2 linked regions of the Arabidopsis thaliana genome follow. The protein of the gene in region 1 interacts with the protein of each later gene in a pairwise test. Each region holds a gene or a part of one and is shown in the gene's direction. Other genes may lie near its edges.

Evidence for each region.
Region 2: the proteins of BLH5 (region 1) and OFP1 interact in a two-hybrid assay, tested with the Arabidopsis thaliana proteins (one large-scale study listed by BioGRID).

What each region holds. Positions count from the first base shown.
Region 1 is NC_003071.7:11,636,389-11,641,403, reverse strand, and holds BLH5 (BEL1-like homeodomain 5), read left to right. Parts: upstream 1-1,866; coding exon 1,867-2,301; intron 2,302-2,487; coding exon 2,488-2,867; intron 2,868-3,043; coding exon 3,044-3,104; intron 3,105-3,624; coding exon 3,625-4,098; 3' UTR 4,099-4,298; downstream 4,299-5,015.
Region 2 is NC_003076.8:322,515-326,485, forward strand, and holds OFP1 (ovate family protein 1), read left to right. Parts: upstream 1-1,913; 5' UTR 1,914-2,037; coding exon 2,038-2,850; 3' UTR 2,851-3,164; downstream 3,165-3,971. Other genes in the region: SAUR21 (ARM repeat superfamily protein), read left to right, coding at 1-493.

The sequences.
Region 1 (5,015 bases):
GTTTCACTTCACTTTTCTTTCTTTCCTCATCCTAGTTAAACTTTTATAACACACTTTTTTAAAGTTGTATTGCATTGTCTTTTTCTTATTTGTTTTTACAGTTACTTACTCTCGGGACGAATGGCGAATTGACACAAATCCACGAATGTAAATAAATAGCAATGTCGCATTATACTTAATTGATCTAAAAAGGAAAAATACTATTATCATAAAGTGAAAGATATAAATACAACTTGGATCTGACCGACACGATGAATTCTCATACACAGTCTCAATCCACCAAACTAAATAGTTATTATCACATTCAATAATAGAAAAAAAATTGATCTCAACACATATCGCGATATCAATTAAGATACGTCTAGCTTTATTTCGGTGTGTGATGGGAAGCTTTCCGAGGAATACAGGCAGATAATGGCATCACCAAAAAATAATGTCTAAATGTAATCTATTAATAAAATCCAAATTTTATATTAGTATTCGAAATTATTTTCTAGATACATTACTATGTCAAAATGTGTTTTAACTATGGATGGATGCTTAATTCGAAGAGTAATGAATTTCCGGGAATTGTGGACCATGTGGTCTATTTTCCAATGTACCATTACTATCTTCAAACACAAGTACTGACAACACAAAGAAAACATAAGAGAAAATATGATTTAGAAAACTATATGAAAGGAATAGGGAAATTTTGAAGATAAAGGCGGAACCAGGCAAATAAACTTTATTTATTTTGGCTGATAAATTTTTAAACATAGATTTGCATTGCAATACAGTTAATTAGTTGTTTAGTTGTGGAAAAGAAGAAAAAGAGTGACTTGTCGCAAACTAATATGGTTATCTAAATACATAAAAGAAGACTTTTGATGTGTGGAGTGGAAGTAGACGTTTCCTCGTTCTTCAACTATCTCCATGGTTCTGCTGACCCACTTCTATTATCTTTTCACATACATTTAACTATACACATATACATAGATTCATTGTAGATTTTAATTTAGTAATAATAATACAATATACTAATAATAAATGTTGACCTACTAAGTTATTCATGTAGGGATCATATAGATGCGTTGCCAAATATTAAACGTGCGGACATCAAATGATAAGACAATACTACCATCTGTAATATATTTTTCTCGTCAACAACCATTAATTAAAATCTTATTTCACCTATAGTATACAAATGGTAAAACGAATGACAATGATAGAAGTGTGATCGTAAAAATATATATATGGTAGCTATACTTATTCTTAGATAGATTGTCTCGTAGATCTACATTTGCGACCACATTGAAATTTTTTAGCTAGGTTGGATATTGGGTGTGAATCGTGCCTAAGATGCAAGTGAGAAATATTGGATATGTAGCAGTAGCATGCCGTGCATATATCATGTATGCTAGAATTGGTGATTGGTCAAAATCCATTGAACTTCGAAACATCACAAGAAAAATATTAATCGTGAGTGTCACTGTTTAGTTGTCCAATGAGATATAAAAGAAAAAAGTACATATTTTTCCCATTTATGAAAAGTCCAATCACATTTTATTTATAAAGGCGACTTATTGGACTTTCTAGTTGACAGATCAATGAAGCAGAGGATATTTAGATGATCATCGCAAGCAGAGAGAAAGACACGTCGAAGAAGACAATGAGAAACTCACACCCATAATTTGCTGCTCATCATTTCTAATTATTAAATAAAAACGGTAATTTAATTTTCTTGATTTGTCACATCTTTATTTCATCATCTTTTGCTTACCTTTTCTTCCTAAGCTCTTGGATATTATTAATGTTTTAGATCGATTTATATTATAATTTGATATTTTCTTGAATTGCAAGTTTTGTTGCTTAATTGTCAGAATAATGGCTGCTTTCTTTCTTGGAGAATCTGAAATGAGAGAACACTCTTCTGATCTTTTTATGATGACTCTGAATCCGTTTCGCGAGCAGACAACGACCACTAATGCTCATGACGATCACTTCTACAACTTGTGCTTTGGTTCCCAACAATATAGACCTCGAGATGAAGTAGGTCATATAGAACAAGGAAATTCTTCCATCTCCACTTTTTCAAACGGAGGAGTCTTCAGGGCTTTGGCTCCGATCTACTTGAAAGCGGCTCAAGAATTACTCAATGAGATTGTCAATGTTGGAAACGGTAGCCACGGCGCAAAACAAGAGCGACCGGTGAGTAAAGAGTCCACGATTTATGGAGTTGAGGACATCAATGGTGGCTATAAGCCTGGCGTAGCTGCTTTGCAAATGAAGAAAGCAAAACTCATCTCCATGGGTGAAATGGTAACTTATTTATACCTACCTATATAATATGTGATACACAAATAATAATAATAAGATCTTTGTATATACAAACCAACCATGGTGATATATATAATGGCAATAAACTTTCTGTTACTTTGAGATCGGGACTCAAGTTCAGTCCATATATTTGGTTATTGCATGTTAAGTATTTGATACTTTATAAAGGTTTCAAAGATTGGTAAATTGATTTGGGAAATGAATTTGGTAAATTATACACAGGTGGAACAGAGATACAAGCAATACCATGACCAAATGCAGACTATAATCTCATCGTTTGAGCAAGCTGCGGGTTTAGGCTCAGCAAACTCATACACACATATGGCGTTACAAACAATATCAAAGCAGTTTCGTGCTGTAAAAGACATGATAAGTTTGCAAATCAAGCAAATAAACAAGCTCTTGGGACAAAAGGAATTTGACGAGCAGCTTAAGAAGTTGGGAAAGATGGCACATCACCATTCAAATGCTTGGAGACCGCAGAGAGGTTTGCCCGAAAAAGCTGTTTCCGTTCTACGCTCTTGGCTCTTTGAGCATTTTCTTCATCCGTAAGTAACGTTTTCTTCTATCTTTAATTCTTGTTACGATTATTGTCGATATATCAGAATGATGGGACCTTGAAGCAAAGGGAACTAACTAAGGATATGGAAGCTAGGATCATTACTTAGTTTTGTATAGACATGCATGCTAATGATTTAGTTGTGTCTTGTTTTGGTTTGTATAGATATCCGAGGGATTTGGATAAGGTAATGCTTGCCAAACAGACTGGCCTTACTAAGAGTCAGGTAATTGATTTCGATTATCAGAAGTTGGACATACTTAAGTTTCTTAATGTTAGATGTCTCATACATAGTACATATACAATTTCATGACATCATCTAACACCGACTATCAAGAATAAATAATCTACAGGTAAAACCGAATATATATATAGATTCAAACAAATTTTATTCCGATCAAAAAAATATTTTTAGAAAGATATCTCTTTATTTCTATTTTTTTTTCTTTTCGAGTCTGAAAACAAAAACGTACCCAAGAATTCTAAGAAAAGCAGGTAAACCAAATATATTTTGGTAAATTTATTTAGATAGATGATGTATATTTATTTTATTATAATTATTTTAATGAAAATAGCGATGATAGCATACGAGAAATATCATATATGTGATCCTTTGTAAAGTAAATCAAATTTATTTTGGTTAAATTAGTAATTATATATATTATGGAATACTTTCTTTTAGCACCCATGATTATATATAATCAAAATAAGTATTGTTAATAGTATCTTGTGTAAAATGGATGTAGGTGTCAAATTGGTTCATTAATGCTCGAGTTCGAATGTGGAAGCCACTGGTGGAGGAACTTTATTCGGAAGAAATGGATATTGAAGAAAGCAGAAAAGGAAGTGACCGGTATAGTACCAAAGGTTCATCTTCAAAGCAACCGTACAATAATACAACTTCAAATGAATCTTCGAACACGATCCTACCCGCCTTTCGTCAAGGATTCACTGAAACTGAAACCCCTAGGCAAAATTCATCCTCAAGTTGCAGCGTAGTCATGAGGTTCACGAAGCAACACATGAATCAAGCGAACTTCATCAATTTCAACGGAGGGTTCGAAAACTATCACACAATGGATGGAAACAGCGTCTCCCTTTCCCTCGGCCTGCCTCATTCTTGTGACCAAACCTTTAATAACATTCATTTTGAGTCAACAAGTCATGGAACTGAGAACTCGGCCATATATTCATCTTCAACTTATCAAATCATGGATTAGAAATAATTAGTGGGGATGATATATTTTCTGCTTGTTGCTTACGTATATTCTGTGTATAGTTTTGGCCCTTGGATGGTTTCGTATGGGTTGATGTGTGTAGATTGATAGAGAGGAGATGATTAAGTAAAGGTTATGATAAAAATGTAGATAACAATACTAAGCTAAAGAAATATATATGGTTTTCGATAGTCAGGTTTTAGTTAGTATTGTTACGTATGAGTGTAAATGAAGATCAGATCAACCGTGAGATCCATATTAGCTAATAGTTGTGACTTTATGAACGTGTATGTGTGTGTGTGTGTGTGTATGTCCCCAAAAACCCTAACTTAATCTCCCACCTCTTCTGTCTTTTTTCTAAAATTTGTTCCACAAAACAATGAATATATATTAGCTATAATTATTATTTTGTTGTTTTACATGATCATCTTAGTGACCTAACCACAAGTTAATTGGCTACCAAGAAGTTATGGATTTATTTATTTGAGTTGATTTTTTGTTTGTCTTCCATATCCAATTTTTTATTTTTTATTTTACAAACTAACAAAATACAGAAATGTTTTAAAAATGATGGTAAAATAAGAATATGATAGAAAAAATGGGAGAGAATATTTTCTGTATCATTAAACACACAAACCGTTGCTACAAATTACATACTGAAAAATATGAATGAAGACATTATACAAACGACCAAACACACCTCTCTATGATACATAAATACCCCAAAACTAAAACAACCTCTAAAATCCTCCTCCTACTCACTCTCCTGTTTGTGTCCCTCACCAAAAGTCCAATACCACATATATAATCAATACTAAGAAAAAAAGCAAAGTGAAGAAAATCAAATATATGAATAAAAATGAGAAAACCCCTTTTACAAAACAAATACTCTTCCTCCTCACTACTACTACAAATTCTTT
Region 2 (3,971 bases), on another chromosome or scaffold:
GAGAGACGCGCTCGTGGCGATCCTAAACCTGGTGGCTGAGAGAGAGAACGTGGGGAGGTTCGTTGAGGCTGGGGTAATGGGAGCCGCAGGAGATGCATTCCAGGAGCTACCGGAGGAAGCGGTGGCTGTCGTGGAGGCGGTGGTCAGGAGGGGAGGACTCATGGCGGTTTCTGCCGCTTTCAGTTTGATTCGACTTTTGGGGGAGGTGATGAGAGAAGGAGCGGATACCACAAGGGAGAGTGCGGCGGCAACGCTGGTCACGATGTGTCGGAAAGGAGGGTCGGAGCTAGTGGCGGAGATGGCGGCTATTCCAGGGATAGAGAGGGTTATATGGGAGATGATAGGAGCTGGAACGGCCAGGGGAGGGAGGAAAGCGGCGTCATTGATGAGATATCTAAGACGGTGGGCCGCCGGAGATACCCATAACACGGCGGCGGAAACGCAGAGCATTGTAGTGCCAACGCCAAGTAGGATTTTTAGTCCAGTTTTATGATTTTTCATTTTTTTGTTTTCCCCTCTTCTTCTTGTGTAAAGTTTAAATGTTTTTTTTTTCTTTCCTGATGATTTGAAAAGAAATTGATTCTTTTACAAAGTATTAAAAGCTGCAATTGTAAATGTAAATTCGAGAAAAGAACGAGAGATTTTTTCCCTTTTACTGGATGAACTTTACACAGTGTTATGATGTTGTTTACTAATCTCTCATAACTCATAACTAGTGTTTTGACAGGAACTAATAAAAATCTTGAAAGCATATTAGAGTTATCATATGTGTGTGAATAAAGAGACAAAAGAATTGGCACAAAATTTCAACACAAAAGACAGAGCAAATCCACAAGAGATATACACACAAGCATGTTCCTAAAGGAGTGATGATGATTGGAAATGGAACTGATTGCAAATAGCAACAATCTTTCTTCCTAGAGAAGCAAACCTTTTTGTTTGTTGTTTTTTTACGTTTTGGATCTTTCGAAGCATTAAATAAAATATCTTCTTCTTCCTTTCCCTCTTTTTTAAACGGTTAATTTTATTACAGAACTATTACAAAACCAGAAAACACATTTGAGGAAAAGAGTGACGGTGTTGAGAATTTATGAAGCGGAGTGAGAGACAAGAAATATGTTCAAACCAAAGAGTGAGGTTGGAGTTTTTCATCGAAGCAGAGTAGTTGATGTTTAAGGAAAAGCTGTTCTGTAACTTTTTACAACCATCAGTTAACCATGGCAGAGAACAAATACATAGAGATGTAACGTGTTATTTTTTGTTTGTTTGTTTAAACGTGTATAAAATGACCATGAATAAGTTGGCAAATTTGTGTCTCTGTAATATTATTATTTTTGGTTTCAATTTGACAGATTCTTTAGTTGGAGTTTAAAATTGATGAAGAGGAAAATATAAGAGGTGCTATCGTTAAGTGAAACTATTGGGCCGAAAACATATAGGCCCATTTTAAAATTTTGGTTTGTTTTGCAAGAGATCCCAGATCTCGAAGCGTGCGATAATGTTTGAAAAAAGCAGGTTTCTCTCTTCTTTATTTGTTGTCAAACCCAAACACCTACTTACGGAAACTGTAACACAATAAAGTGAGTGACCACTTTCTTTTTTTACACTATCGATGATACAACTTTTTAATATCATCGTGGTGCACATTTTAAAAGGATTACAATGACCACGATTAAACTAGTAATTAGTACATATACAAACTAGTAATTACTCTATTATTTATTTCTTTGGTACGAACACTACTTGTGTATTACTATTACTAAAACATATAATAAAAGTGTCAGTGTCAAATGTCAATGTAATTTAATTTAGGGGAAAATGAAATGGCCAACATAATCTAACACAAAATCAATGAAAATGGAGAGAGCATCTCACTCACCTTATAATAACCTTTATATTTTCCACGTATGTGGGCCCCCTCACATAAACCTCTCTTTCCTTTATAAATTCTCCACTCTTCACACTCTCACTTTTGTTCATGTACCAAAGAAGTCCCCAACAAACACAAAATAATCAACAGAGAGAGTCAGAGAGATAATGGGTAATAACTATCGGTTTAAGCTATCGGAGTTAATCCCTAACGCTTGGTTTTACAAACTTAGAGACATGTCCAAATCCAAGAAGAAGAATCTTCAGAGCCAACCAAATAGCACCACCTCCAAGAAGAAACACCACGCAGTCCCTACTCCTACGTCCACAACGCCACTCAGTCCTAGGCCTCCTAGGCGCCCTTCTCACTCTTCCAAAGCGCCACCCTCCCATCCTCCCAGGAAGTCCTCCGGGAACCGTCTTCGTCACCGAGCCACCGTCGACTCTAAGTCTTCCACGACTTCCGGCGACAGCACTACCACAGAAACAGGTTCTTTCTCACCGGACTTTCGCTCGGATCAAGTTCTCCTCCCCGACGAGTCATTAACGGGCTCCTGGCACAGCCCTTGCAGCTCCAAGTTATCCAAAACCGCAACCTTTACGCCGCCGCCGGAACTCGAACTCCGGCCCATCATTACCAAAACGGCCGCCACCGCACGGAAAACGGCGGTGAATTCTCCGGCGGGGGTGAGACTTAGAATGCGGTCGCCGCGGATCTCGGTGAGCAGCAGCGCAAGAAGAAGCGGGTCGTCGGCTCGGCGGAGCAGGGCGGTGGTGAAGGCGTCGGTGGATCCGAAGAGAGACTTTAAGGAGTCGATGGAGGAGATGATCGCTGAGAACAAGATAAGAGCGACAAAGGATCTAGAGGAGCTTTTGGCTTGCTATCTCTGTCTCAATTCAGACGAATATCACGCTATTATCATCAATGTCTTCAAGCAAATCTGGCTTGATCTTAATCTTCCACCACCCCATTCCAAATAATTTTATTATTAAGAAAAAAACATCTTCTTATATAGTATTAATTACTCCTTAATAATTAATCGCTCTACTGAATAAAAATGTAAATATATATGATGTTGATGATGATGATTCTTGTACTAACTATATTTATATGTAATAATGGTCTAGAGAGAGCCTACAGTCTTGTACTTGCATAACGGCCATCGTTGATGATATCAAGTACAGGAATTTTCTATCCGGATTGGTACTCTTCTACGAATCTTACTTTGCACGGACAAGCAAGTGTTACTTTAAATCAAATTTTGAATGTGGACGACTATAAACCTACTTTTGCGTCATCAATCATACTATATATACAGCTCACTCTTCAAGTCTAAATTTTTTAAAAGAGATTTAAAAATGATTGGAAACTCATTCATTGTGATCATGAGTTAGCAAGTGTTCATGTTGACAACAATTACTCTGCATCACGTTATAGACTAAGACTAATAGTGAACGTTTTATATTTAGTGTATCCATTATATTAGACCTACGATGCCGACAACTCATTAAAACAGCATCTGCGCCTATTTTCAGACCTAACTTTGGATATGTGTGTACGTGTGCATTTCTCAATTTCACACACATCTATATTTATTTATTTATATGTGTAGTTAACTTTTTAAAAAATAAAAAAAAATTGACCACGACGTATTGTTTTGTATAATATTTATATGTATATGCATGCAGTGCATAACACATACAAACAGTGCGACAAGCAAGAAGAAAACAAAACATTTTTACTTTTAGGCATATAAGTGCCAAAGAAAACAAAAAATCCAATTGGCTGTTTTTTATTTATTTATATCAGTGATGGGTGACAAATGACGAGAATATATAGGAAAAGGTAACATATCGGAAAAAAAAAAATTATATGAATATATGTAGATATTATAGTAAAATAAAATAAAATTAGTGATGAATGGTTCTTACTGGCAAACTTTTGCTTCTGTGTTTTATGGTTGTATCGTTATCATGATATTGATGTCATTTTGTTTTATGTAAATCTTCCATGAGATTTTGGTTTAATAGAGTTAAACATCAATCTTAAAAGAAAATTGTGGAATTCTTAAAATATAAAAATAGGAACTGAAAAGGAATCT